3 linked regions of the Oryzias latipes genome follow. The protein of the gene in region 1 interacts with the protein of each later gene in a pairwise test. Links are inferred from orthologs where the notes say so. Each region holds a gene or a part of one and is shown on either strand. Other genes may lie near its edges.

What was found. The genes of interacting proteins can lie anywhere in the genome.
Region 2: the proteins of drg1 (region 1) and rwdd1 interact in binary tests that used the Homo sapiens proteins (3 or more experiments, as listed by UniProt). The two-hybrid records come from large-scale screens. The link is inferred for Oryzias latipes from reciprocal best matches to the Homo sapiens genes DRG1 and RWDD1.
Region 3: the proteins of drg1 (region 1) and zc3h15 interact in binary tests that used the Homo sapiens proteins (3 or more experiments, as listed by UniProt). The two-hybrid records come from large-scale screens. The link is inferred for Oryzias latipes from reciprocal best matches to the Homo sapiens genes DRG1 and ZC3H15.

What each region holds. Positions count from the first base shown.
Region 1 is NC_019870.2:14,589,920-14,594,046, reverse strand, and holds the start of drg1 (developmentally-regulated GTP-binding protein 1), read left to right. Parts: upstream 1-1,321; 5' UTR 1,322-1,459; coding exon 1,460-1,498; intron 1,499-4,127. UniProt on the Homo sapiens protein: Catalyzes the conversion of GTP to GDP through hydrolysis of the gamma-phosphate bond in GTP. Appears to have an intrinsic GTPase activity that is stimulated by ZC3H15/DFRP1 binding likely by increasing the affinity for the potassium ions.
Region 2 is NC_019874.2:9,431,575-9,435,558, forward strand, and holds the start of rwdd1 (RWD domain-containing protein 1), read left to right. Parts: upstream 1-1,183; 5' UTR 1,184-1,313; coding exon 1,314-1,386; intron 1,387-3,379; coding exon 3,380-3,445; intron 3,446-3,531; coding exon 3,532-3,662; intron 3,663-3,984. UniProt on the Homo sapiens protein: Protects DRG2 from proteolytic degradation.
Region 3 is NC_019873.2:1,266,119-1,270,146, forward strand, and holds the start of zc3h15 (zinc finger CCCH domain-containing protein 15), read left to right. Parts: upstream 1-1,227; 5' UTR 1,228-1,356; coding exon 1,357-1,431; intron 1,432-2,139; coding exon 2,140-2,241; intron 2,242-2,673; coding exon 2,674-2,776; intron 2,777-2,868; coding exon 2,869-3,021; intron 3,022-3,278; coding exon 3,279-3,370; intron 3,371-3,496; coding exon 3,497-3,679; intron 3,680-3,756; coding exon 3,757-3,837; intron 3,838-4,028. UniProt on the Homo sapiens protein: Protects DRG1 from proteolytic degradation. Stimulates DRG1 GTPase activity likely by increasing the affinity for the potassium ions.

The DNA.
Region 1 (4,127 bases):
GGGCTTGGAAGTATTAACCTTTGAACAACTCTTTTAAAATAAGGTGGTTAAGTAATTTATTGAAAGGGGAAGACAATATCTGGAACGCATTTCCCAAATACATATTTGACACAATGGGAGGCATTAAATTCTTGCTAAAATGTAATTATAAAATTGAAAAATTACCCACAAAACTTTCAAACTTTTACAAACAAGCCCTGCTGGCCTGGAAACTCGTTTATAAACACAATTTTTCTCCAACATCTTGTTTTATTTGGAATAACAGTAATATACAATACAAGAATAAATCACTTTTTTCCCTAGATGGTATGATAATGATATTGTTTTAATCTGACAACTTTTCAATTCTCATGGATATCTTCTGACGTATGAAGAATTGCTTTTAAAATTCGGTATTCCTGTTCCACCCAGAGAATATGCAATAGTGTTAGATGCCATTCCAACCAGTCTACTTCAACTGTTTAAAGGGATTTATAACACAAGTCAATTAAGAACCCAGACAATTTTTTTGGACAATGTGGATATTTGTGTTAATTCAGTTTCCAATAAGCAAATAAGAAATCTTTTACAGACCACAACCTTACCTGCTGGGAAATTCTATTGGGACTCCAAATTTGTGGACATAAAATGGACTTATGCTTGGACTATTAGTAATAAATACTGTCTAAATAACAAAATAAAAGAGGTGTCCTTCAAAATATTGCATTGTATATATCCTACCAAAAAAACTTTGAGTAGATTTGTTGTTGACATGGACCTGTCTTGTTCATTCTGTGGAACTCAGGAGGAAACTATTTATCATCTGTTTGTGGACTGCAGACATACTAATATGTTTTGGGTTGAAGTGGGGAACTATATTGGAAATATAACTAAACAAACTGTTACATTTTTGGATAAAGACATTACTCTGGGTTACTTTAATGTCAAAGTAGACAAAGATTGTATCTTCATCACACAATTGTTTTTACTATTGGCAAAATTCCATATTCATAAAGCCAAATGATCAAACTCCAAACCTAAATTACAGCAGTTTTTAAATGAAATAAATCAGTACTGTACCAGTATCAAACATCTGCAAAACCAAAAAGCAATTCGAACTAATTTGATTTTTGAAAAATTTAAAATTTATTAAACCTCAAAGGTATTTGAATTAATGATTCTTTTTGTACTATGTTGTATATGTATGTGTATATATTTATATATTTTTTGTTCTATTTCTTATATTTTTCTCCAACATGTATACATTTCAATTCCCCCTGAGACATTCACATTGTTATTGTATTATTTTGTTTGTCAATAAAGTTTGGGAGGGAAAAAAGGTTTGCAGTCTCGCGAGAGTCTCCACAAGACACGGCACATTCTACATTGTGCGGTGTGGATGCTAAGTTTTGCAACTTTCGTGTAAAATCTTTTTATTTTATCTTCCTCTCGTAAACAGCGTCCTGGAACTGTCCTCAAAATGAGTATACTTGCAAAAATAGCGGAGATTGAAAATGAGGTAAGGTTGAAACGTTGACTAGTTAAGCAAACACAGCAGACACGTTTTAGCTAACGCTTAGCGTTGGATGCTAACAGTTGTGAATACTGATGATAATCATAATCTCGGCTGGGTTTTATCTGTATACATTTGACATTTATGCACCTGACAGCTTAAAATACTCAATATAAGTTTTGTATCAGTCCGTCCCCCCCCCCCCCCCCCCTGGATTACAAAGAATGTTGGTTAAAGAAAAACAACATATGTCGAAAACACATGACTAATAAATGAGGTTGTGGTTAATTGTATTAATTTAAAAGTTTAGCCTGATGACGTTTTTAAGTGTTGACCAGACATTTTAGATGTAGCTTGGGTAGCTACGGCACCTGACCAGTTTAAATCCACAATATATTTACAAGACATTGCATTTAGAGAAAAATAATAACTTCTGTAATGATTTTATTTTTTTTAGAAATTTGCTATTTTACATATGATACTTACTCAAAGACTGAAAATAGTAGAATTTATCCAATCACTTGTGCATTTTTGCCATGTGGGTTTCTTTTTTGAATCGTGTGTGCCTGTGTATCCATACATATAAGCTAGTTAAAACTTTATTTATAGTTTATAGGGTATTTATTTTGAAACCCTATAAACTATATTTATCAATTACATTGACATGGGTCAAAACTCCCAATAGGGAATTTACTTTGACTGTTAAAACTTGTTTATTTTGATTTGATTGATTTAAATTTACACTTTATTAAGTAAACCTTGCTAGTACTGGGTCGGGCCCCGTTTTGCCATCAGAAACTGCCTTAATCCTTTGTGGCATAAATTCAAAATGCTACTGGAAAGATCCCTCAGAGTATTTGGTCCATACTGACATGACAGCATTACACAGTAGCAGCAGATTGGTTGAGATCTGGTGATTGTGGGGGCCATGTGAGTTCGGTGAACTCATTGTCATGTTCAAGAGACAAGTCTGAGATGATTCCAGCTTTATGACATGGCGCGTTGTCCTGCTGGAAGTAGCCATCATCAGAAGATGGGTGCACTGTGGTCATAAAGGGATGGACATTGTAAGAAACAAGGCATTCTGTAGTGGTGTAACCATGATCAATTGATTCTAAGGGGCCCCTAGAAAATGTCCCCCGAGCGAATGTTGCAGCAGAAATAGACTCATCAGATTAGGCAACGTTTTTCCAATCTCCTATTGTTCCGTTTTGGTGAGCCTGTGTGAATTGTAGCCTCAGTTTCCTTTTCTTAGCCGACAGGGGTGACACCCGGTGTGGTCTTCTGCTGCTGTTGCCCATCTGCCTCAAGGCTGGACGTGTTATGCGTTCAGAGATGGTCTTCTCCATACCTCGGTTGTAACGAGTGGTTATTTAAGTTAATGTTGCTTTTTCATTTGATGGAACCAGTCTGGCCTCAGGCATCAACAAGGCATTTCCGCCCACAGAGCTGCTGTTCACTGGATATTTTCACTTGTTCGGACCATTCTCTGTAAACCCTAGAGATGGTTGTGGGTGAAAATCCCAGTAGATCAGCCCTGTCTAAAATACTTAGATCAGCCCGTCTGGCACCAACAACCAGGCCACGTTCAAAGTTGCATCTTTTCTTCCCTATTCTGTTGCTAAGTTTGAACTGCAGCAGATCATCTTGAACATGTCTACATGCTTAAATACATTCAGTAGCTGCCATATGATTGGCTGATTAGAAATTTGGGTTAATGAGTAGTTTGATGTGTGTCTAATTAAGTGACCAGTGAGTTTATTTCAAGCATTAAAAACAATTGACTGCTACAATAAAAAGTAACAAAACACATATATCAAACCCATGTCAGATATAAAGCAATGTGTTTATTAGAATAAAAGGAAAAATAAATGATTTAAGATTATGCCATCTTCTTGACAGTGTAATTACTCATTACTTGGGGTGGCAGTGGTGAAGCGGTAGGGCGGTTGACCCATGATCGTAAGCTTACAGGTTTGATTCCCGCCTTGCACGCCCATGAGTCGAAGTGTCCTTGGGCAAGACACTGAACCCCACCTTGCTTCTGGTGGGAGGTTGGCGCCAGTGTTTGACAGCGGAGCCGCCATCAGTGTGTGAATGTGTGTGTGACTGGATGAATGGGACTATGGCTGTAAAGCGCTTCAAAGAAGGTAGAAAAGAGCTATATAAGTATAAGTATAAGTATACGCCATTTACTATAACCATAAATAGACTTTTTTGTGGGAATACAATCATATCACAATAGATTCATTTAATATAATGATTATTAATTAGTCAATTAGAGTTTGATTTGTTGCTTCAATGGAAGAGGGAGAAGCAGGATTTTCATAATCACACCCCTATTGTGTTATTGCTTTTTATATGTATTTTTGCATTCTATAATCCAGTTATAATAAGTATATTTAACATTGTATTTAGTTTGTTCTGTTTAGTATCTAATTCATGAAGGAATAGGCTGCAAAAAATGTCAAGTATATGAAATATTAGGGTTAAAATAAATTTTTTAAAAGATTGTGCACATCAATGAAATAAATTGAGTGTTTACTTGTGTTTCTTTGTGATTTAAGCAGTTATGAATATTTATGATGTTTGTTTTTTTCTTATAAGAAACAAATCTGATCATAAAATTGAACAC
Region 2 (3,984 bases), on another chromosome or scaffold:
CAGACTAGTTAGTATTCAGAGATTATTTAACTTAATGTTAATGTGTTTAAATTAAAATTAATAACAATAACTATTAGTTGTTATTAATTTTACCGGTACCGGTCCGCGGCCCGGGGTTTGAAGAACACTGCTGTACAGCATCACACACTGATCTGTGTGACAATGACAACTTATGGGACTTGAACTTTTGGGTGGATTCATTCCATGGTGCTGATTTGTTTCCCTTTATATATTAGAATGATGGGTTTAGTCATTTTAGTTTGGGCTGAGCATTGGCAGAACCGTTTTCTGTATTATTTTCATCACGATATATCAAGTTGGGCAGTCATTTCTAAGGAGCTGCTATATTTGACGATCGTCCACTTGGTTTGGCTGGGTTTTAGTGTTTTTATGTCCAAAGTCAGACTTTTAAATTACAGATTATATAAGAAAGTAGGCTGCTTACCTGTGCAACTGATTGTGTTTTTGTTGACATTGTTTTGACTAGAGTATTTTTGTATTTTTTGTCGTCTGTTCATAAGTTGTGGTTACCAAGTCTTTATTATTTGTTTGGGACTTGGGACTCAACAGAGAAACAATGACATGATGACACTGGGCTGTCCTTAATCAGGTCAGAATAAATGTGTGGCGCTCAGATGAGGGACTTGAAGGGGAGCAGACTCCATGGCGAAGGACAGCAGAGCATCCAGACATCCACGCCGTGATGAGGCACAGTGCCGTCAGGACGACTAATCGAGAGTCGGACATTGCTATAGTTTGACAGGGACGGGAGGAGCAAGAAGTACAGCTGTCAACAAGGGAAGTTAGTGTTGCATTGATTTTAGAAAAAGGATACATTTTTTATTATAGCAGTTATACTACTGCCTTTTTTACTGATGTAATTTTTATCACTTCAGGAAAATAACCTGTATTGTTCCACTGGGTTTTATTACTAAAGTCTTAGTTTTTAATCATAAAAATCAACTGAAGGCTCTGACATTTGCATTATATATATATATATATATATATATATATATATATATATATATATATATATATATATATATATATATATATATATATATATTATTTTATATATATTATTTATCAATCTCCCAGAGCATTATGGGAGATTGGGTTCAGGGTAGTTCCGGCGTTTTCCCGCTCCCGCTCAGGAGATGGCGGTAACGCGCCTGACAGTTGTTGGTCACCTGTCCAAAGAGAGAGGAAGACGATGCTAGGCGCCCGGATGAGCACCGAGCGCATCGATCGGTTCCCGCACGGTCTCACTGCACGCATGCCTGCGCGGTGTTGTCCCGCATGAACCCGCAGACATGACGGACCACGCTGAGGAGCAGCGGAACGAGCTGGAGGCCATCGAGTCCATCTACCCGGACTCCTTTACAGGTTCGAGAGGAACTTCCGCCCCTGCTGCGGATAGCAGGAACCAATCAGAGTGGAAGACAATATGCGACCAAACTGGCCCGAACTTTAGCCGAGATCCGGTCGCGTGAGGTCGAACTGGGCTTTTGGTTCCGTACGGCTCAAGACATTTCCTTAAAGCGAATTTAAACCCAGAAGTCCAGAATTAGCGGTTCTGAAAGATCTGTAGCACTGAGTGCACACCGCAGGGTGTCAAGAATCTGACCTACGGGCTTCTGTTCCGGCCCGGACCGGTCTGCGGTTCTGAGGTGTAAACTGCAGGGTCAGATTTAACATTGGATCTATCCTGCAGGAAACTGCTGCAGCTGCTTCGGCACTAATGCTGGCCTTGTTTTGGTGACTGGGTCGGACGGTTGACTGTATATATACCTGGACTGAATGGCCCCTCCCCCTTGGTGGTCCAAACAGAAAGTACCTGCTGGCTCCAAGAACCCCAAACCCCATAGACTTCTGTAGAGAAGTAAACAGCTGTTATTCAGTCATTTTATTGGTCAGAATAATCATTCTGGCTCTAATACCTTTTATTTTACATCTTGATAATCCTCTTTTTTCTTGATTTTCTTTCTTTACCGCAAATTATTCAAGTTCTAAACTGACCAATCAGACGCCCGCTGGCCCCCACCTCAATGTTGGATTGACAGATAGCCTGCTTTCAGTGGACGGGATGTGGACTTCCAACAAGCTCATTCCTGATTGGTGTCTCGAATCAACTCGGACCGATCACTTCGTCCGGCTCCAACATGGTGACGTCTGTATCCCTGAAAAAATTGGTAAATGGGCTTCCTTTGGCTGGAGCCAGAGGTGAGGCATTTTATATGAGTGACGTCACACCAGCTCAGTCCTGTTCTTTATACAGTCAATGGTTCAAACCAAGGCCTCGCCCTTCCCCCTCTCGTTTGACACAAACCAGCTCGACAAATATTGCCGTTCCTCCAAAGCTGGACACCCAGTCTTGGTGGAGGCAGGTTGCAGGAGGGAGCAATTCTGCAAAATCCATTGGATGACCTCATAGATTATAACTCCAGTGTGTTTGATGTTGATGGTTCTAAATGTAAATGCTGCAAGAAAATAAATGAAATACATTTCTTAACATCCTGGGTAATACCACTAGAGCAAAAGTAAGCAGAGTGAAAGGCAAAAACACTCTCAAAACGTGAAGACAGTGAACGCAGGGGGTTAGACTCACCGACTGTATAAAGAATTGGACTGAGCAAGTGTGACGTGCCCCAAAAAAATGCCTTCCCTCCTGCTCCAGCAGAATCAATCCAATTCAGTTGCCATTTTTCTAAGATGCAGGCGCAATGTTGAAGCCAGACAATGGGGATTGGTCGATGTTTCTGTGGCAGCCACTTTCGCCAGTCAAGAGTTATCTCCTGAGGAGAATCTGTCAGTAAAATATTTTGGGGGGGGGCAGAGGGCACCACCTACTTTTATTGAGGCATCTGATTGGTCAGTTTAGAACTTGAATAATTTGCAAAAATAAAAAAAATGAGGATTATCAAGAGGATATTAAAAAAAAGGTTTTCAGAACAAAATGGTTATTCTGACCAATAGAATGACTGATTAAAAGCTGCTTCTTTCTCTATAGAAGTCTATGGGATTTTGGCTTAATTGAGCCAGCAGATACTTCCTTTATGGAACGCCGGGGGGAAGGGCTACTCGGTCCAGTTCTCATATAAAGTCAATGCTAAGACTGCACAGAGATAGACTGGTAGGTGTCACTGCACAGATGTCATACAGAGGATTTGCCTGCAATGTGAGCGAAAGGGAAAAGGACCTTCAAAGCATGTATGCCCAGTTTTAAAGCAACAAACCTTTTTCTGCTTCTCATCCTGCTTGTTTTCAGCACAAAAACACAAAACAGTACCTGTGGTTACTATACTTTGAGTTCATTCAATGTTCCACTTTTTCCTTCTTCAGTCTGACTTTGTGACCTTGGCATTATTTGTGTCTACAGTTCTCTCTGAGAACCCCATTGTCTTCACTGTCACTGTGACCTCAGACATAGGGGAACACGGCAAAAGTGAGTATGCCTCCTCATCACCCTTTGTGGACTGACCTGATTGTCACTACAGCACTTTCATCCACATTGTTTTCTCTACTTTTCAGCTGTGGAAGCAACATTAAAGTTCACCTATACAGAGAAGTACCCTGATGAGCCGCCATTGTTTGAGATATATTCACAGGAAAACCTGGAGGACAGAGATGTTGAGGAACTTCTGCTGCTGCTTGAAAAAGAGGTCTGTTTTTAGTTGCACTGATGTCTGCAGATCCTGTTGTTTACCTGCTGCAGTAGTTTGGAGTTTTTGCTCTGACAGCGTTCCTGTCATAACTTAATCCTTTAACGCTGTAGTTGTAGTCCCAGTGTTGACGTTCTTTTGTCTGCCGTAACTCTTCAACCATTTTGGAGTTAACATAAAGCCAGTGGATTCTGACGCTGAGAAAAGCAGCTTTGCCCCGTTATGCAAAGTGTACAAAACCGATATGAAACCGCGTTTGTTTGCATCAGAATCAGCTGATTCACGTTGAACGCATAAAAGGCCAAAAACTGACAGTATATCA
Region 3 (4,028 bases), on another chromosome or scaffold:
TAAGCAATTCAACACAGACAGCCTTTTGTTTGTTTGTTTTCAGCACTTCCATGTCCTTATATGGTGATGAATGCTGGTTCCACTTGCAGTCCTTATTACAACACACAAGGTTCATGTATATAAAGAACCAGGTAAATGCCAAAGCTACTGAGCCCTGCAGATGCCACTGGCTAAAAAGGAAAAAAAATCTGATGGTGTTCGGTGGCCAGTGACTAATGATGATGTCAGACCATAGAAGAAGAACTTGGAGGTCCCGTTGGAAATAACAAAGCTCCGACATAGAGCGAGGTGATCTTCTAAACAGGCTTTTATTATTGTTATGGTGATTACTAAGTGCATGTTTGCTTATAGTTTTTTTAAATCTGTGCGGCCAGTGCTTCATAGTTGGCAGAACTGACCCAGAAGGAGGATTAGGATTAGGTTAATATATGCTGACAACATTTAGCCATGAAAGAATTTACACTGGAATTACATCAGGCTATTTTTTCTGGACCCGACTGGAAATACAAATTCTCATGATTGTTTGCACGGTTTCTCAGGACTGTTGATTCAAAAGCCGCCTCCGTTCGTCTGGCGAGGTGACAGACTGTGGTCCGAAGCTTCCTCTGTACGAAGATACGACTTGAGTCCAGCTGCTCTGCTCAGCGACATGGGCATGCTATGTGCACATGCGCACGATTGCGCAACAGTGTGAGCACAATTGATGAATCCGTGGGCGAGATTTATCAGATTTTTTTTTTTAACCACTGGCCCTTGGAGGGCTCCGTACGAATCAAAACGTATGCTGAAATAAATAATTCTTCCTCACAGAAAGGTCCCAGTCTGGATTGAAAGCAGGGCTGTGAGGCGTGAGAGCCCCCTGTGCAGCATAGGGAACTCAGTTTTGGAAGTGTAGATTTGGATAGCACTACAAAATGGCAAACACACTAATTAGTGCACTATGTAGTCAGTAGTGAAGGAAATGGGCACAATCCGTCACAGGGCAACACATGCACGCACGTGCACTCTCACTTTGAAAAATTGACGGTATATTTGTCTGCCATAAAAGCATGTTTTAGGACTAAAGCTGAAGTTCCCGCAGAATTCCCGCGCGTGCACGCGGAGAACACTCAAACTCCACACAGAAATGACAAAGCCAGGGTTCGAATCTTCTCACTATGTGCCGTTCTGTCCTGTAGTTAAATTTAACTCAATCACCCATGATGCACCTCGTCGTAACGCAATGACGCCACAGGACATCAACAACTCACACGTGGCCTAGAACGTGCTAGCAACACCTGCTTCAGGTGCTTCGCGACCCAGAGCACCCTAGTCTAATCTAAATAGTCATCTTCACGTGTCCACAGCTGAGCCAGCATGCCTCCGAAGAAACCCACACAGGCCGCGGGGACCAAAAAAACCCAAGAGAAGAAGAAGGAGAAAATTATTGAGGTAGCTAACGCCAAACACCAGTTAGCTTAGCCTTAGCTGATGAGCTAAATGCTAACTCGGTTGCTTTACTTTACATTAATACGTAATTCCGCTCAGGTGACATTTGACGGGTTTCTAGTTCATTCAGTTAGTGTTTTTTAAAGACTTATTTGGCTGTTCTGAAGCTGCCCGACTGTCACGGGGCAGTTGGACGGGTGTTGCAGGCCGAGCGGCCGAACCAACGTCCGGCTTCTAATGAGAGACGCCGGCGACACGAGCCCGCGGTTGGCCTTAACAGAAACGCTGTGATCCGTTTCAGGTGTGTTCTGATTTCAGAACAGAGAGTGAGTCCTGTCGAATAAACGATCGTTTGGCTGTAAAGCTCCGAAGCGCCGTCAGGAGCGGCCGCCGCCCGGAGGCCCGGCTTAGGTTCGGTTCTCCTGACCCGCAGGGCTTGTTGTCACTTTGCTTCATGTAGTCGTTCTGTGGTCTGTGTTTGTCCATGGCTCTGTAATCCTCAAAGTATGTCCATATTTAGGGGTTTTAAAGCTCATATCTGATGATCATTTCTGAAAATGGAAACGTCTGAAATCTCCACCTGTCAGTTCAACTCACCTGAGACTTTTTGGGTGGCGATCAAACTTGTCGCAGCTCCTCTGATGGTTTCGGTTTCTCCAACCTCTCAGTTCAGAGGAGGTTCTTGATGTTAACACAGGCTTCTCCCCTCAGGACAAAACGTTCGGCCTGAAGAACAAGAAGGGCGCCAAGCAGCAGAAGTTCATCAAGAACGTCACTCAGCAAGTGAAGTATGGACAGCAGAGCGCCCGACAGGTGAGGAGCTCTCAGCTGCAGGGGGTGTGGGGGTCTTTAGCTTCTGCAACAGCAGGCTGCTTTCAAGGACTCCTCTTTTTAGAGGACATTTGTGGTTCTGACAGACGCATTTCGCTTCCGTCTGAATATTAGTGTAACACAGTAAAAGACGAGCGTCTCCATCCTGTTTTAATTCAGAAGCTGCCCACAGTGCAGCTTCAGACCCCTGTGCAGGTTTCCATGTGAAACAGCATCTGGGGGTGAACATGTCTCAGTGGGAAGTGTTTCACACATGGATGGATGGATGGATGGATACATACGGGTTCTGCTCACATTTCCCCTGGCAGTGGGGGCAGTGAAGGAAAGGATGTGTGCGGTGTGCGGTATAGCTGTGTGCGCTGACAATGTTCTGATGCTTCCCTGCTGAAATCTCATCCTGTTTTGATGGCGCAGGTCGAGAATGAGAAGGGCGGCAAGAAGGCAGACAAGAAGAAGGAGCTGGATGAACTCAATGAGCTCTTTAAACCCGTCGTCGCTGCGCAGAAAGTTAGCAAAGGTGATCGGGCGCCGGAGTGGAGGAGGCGTGCAACCTTCCTGTTGTGTGAAGACGGCGCTTAAAGAATATCTCCCTACTTCCCTCTGTTGCAGGAGTTGATCCAAAGTCGGTGCTGTGTGCGTTCTTCAAGCAGGGCCAGTGCACCAAAGGTGACAAGTGCAAATTCAGCCACGACCTGTCCATGGAGAGGAAGTGTGAGAAGAGGAGCGTCTACGTGGACGAGCGGGACGAAGACCTGGAGAAAGGTTTCGCTCCAGGCTGTTTCTTACATGTTTGGCCGAAAAAACAGTTGAAGCTGGAGATGACGATCTTCATTTGCTTGATGCACACTTCCTTGACAGTGCAGCACCTCTCAGGGGTTAAAGGTCACCGATCACAGCTCACGTCTCGTGCTGCGTTACAGATGCAGATGATCCGAGAACGTTTGCTGTTCTTAAGAGCAGATGATGGTTACGATGTTTGATCCAAAGTAGACCTCTGATGTTGCTGCTGTTCTGCTCAGACACCATGGAGAACTGGGACCAGAAGAAGCTGCAGGAGGTGGTCGACAAAAAACACGGGGAGGCAGAGAAGAAGAAAGCAAAAACTCAGATCGTAAGTCTGCCCAAAACATGAAGGTGCTGCTGTGTTTTCACAGCTTCAGTGGTTCTCATGAGGGCTTGCTGATCCTTCAGACCTGTGAAGCTCCTACCACAAATGAACAGGACCTTGTTGTTTCAGGTGTGCAAGTACTTCCTGGATGCCATTGAGAACAACAAATACGGCTGGTTCTGGGTGTGTCCCGCCAACGGTGACACCTGTATGTACCGACATGCCCTGCCGCCCGGCTTTGTGCTGAAAAAAGACAAGAAGAAGGAGGAGAAAGAGGAGGAGATCTCACTGGAGGAGCTGATCGAGAATGAGGTACGAACTGACGGGCTGCGTGGAAACAACCTGACCCCCCACCGATCACTAACGTCTGTCCGTCCGCCTGCCCCCAGCGAGCGGCTCTGGGCCCAAACGTCACCCGGATCACACTGGAGTCTTTCCTGGCTTGGAAAAAGAGGAAGAGGCAGGAGAAGGTAGGAGCAGCTGTCCCTTCACCCTGAGCGCACTTCTCATGTCAAATTTGCATCTGTTTGGAAGCGCGTCAAATATGACTGTCAAAAAGCGTATTCGTGCTCCTGACGCGGGTGGGAGGAGCCAGCAACGTGCACAGATAGGTGCATGAGCACCTGCCCTTTACTGCCTTTATCGTTTTTTTAGGATTTTT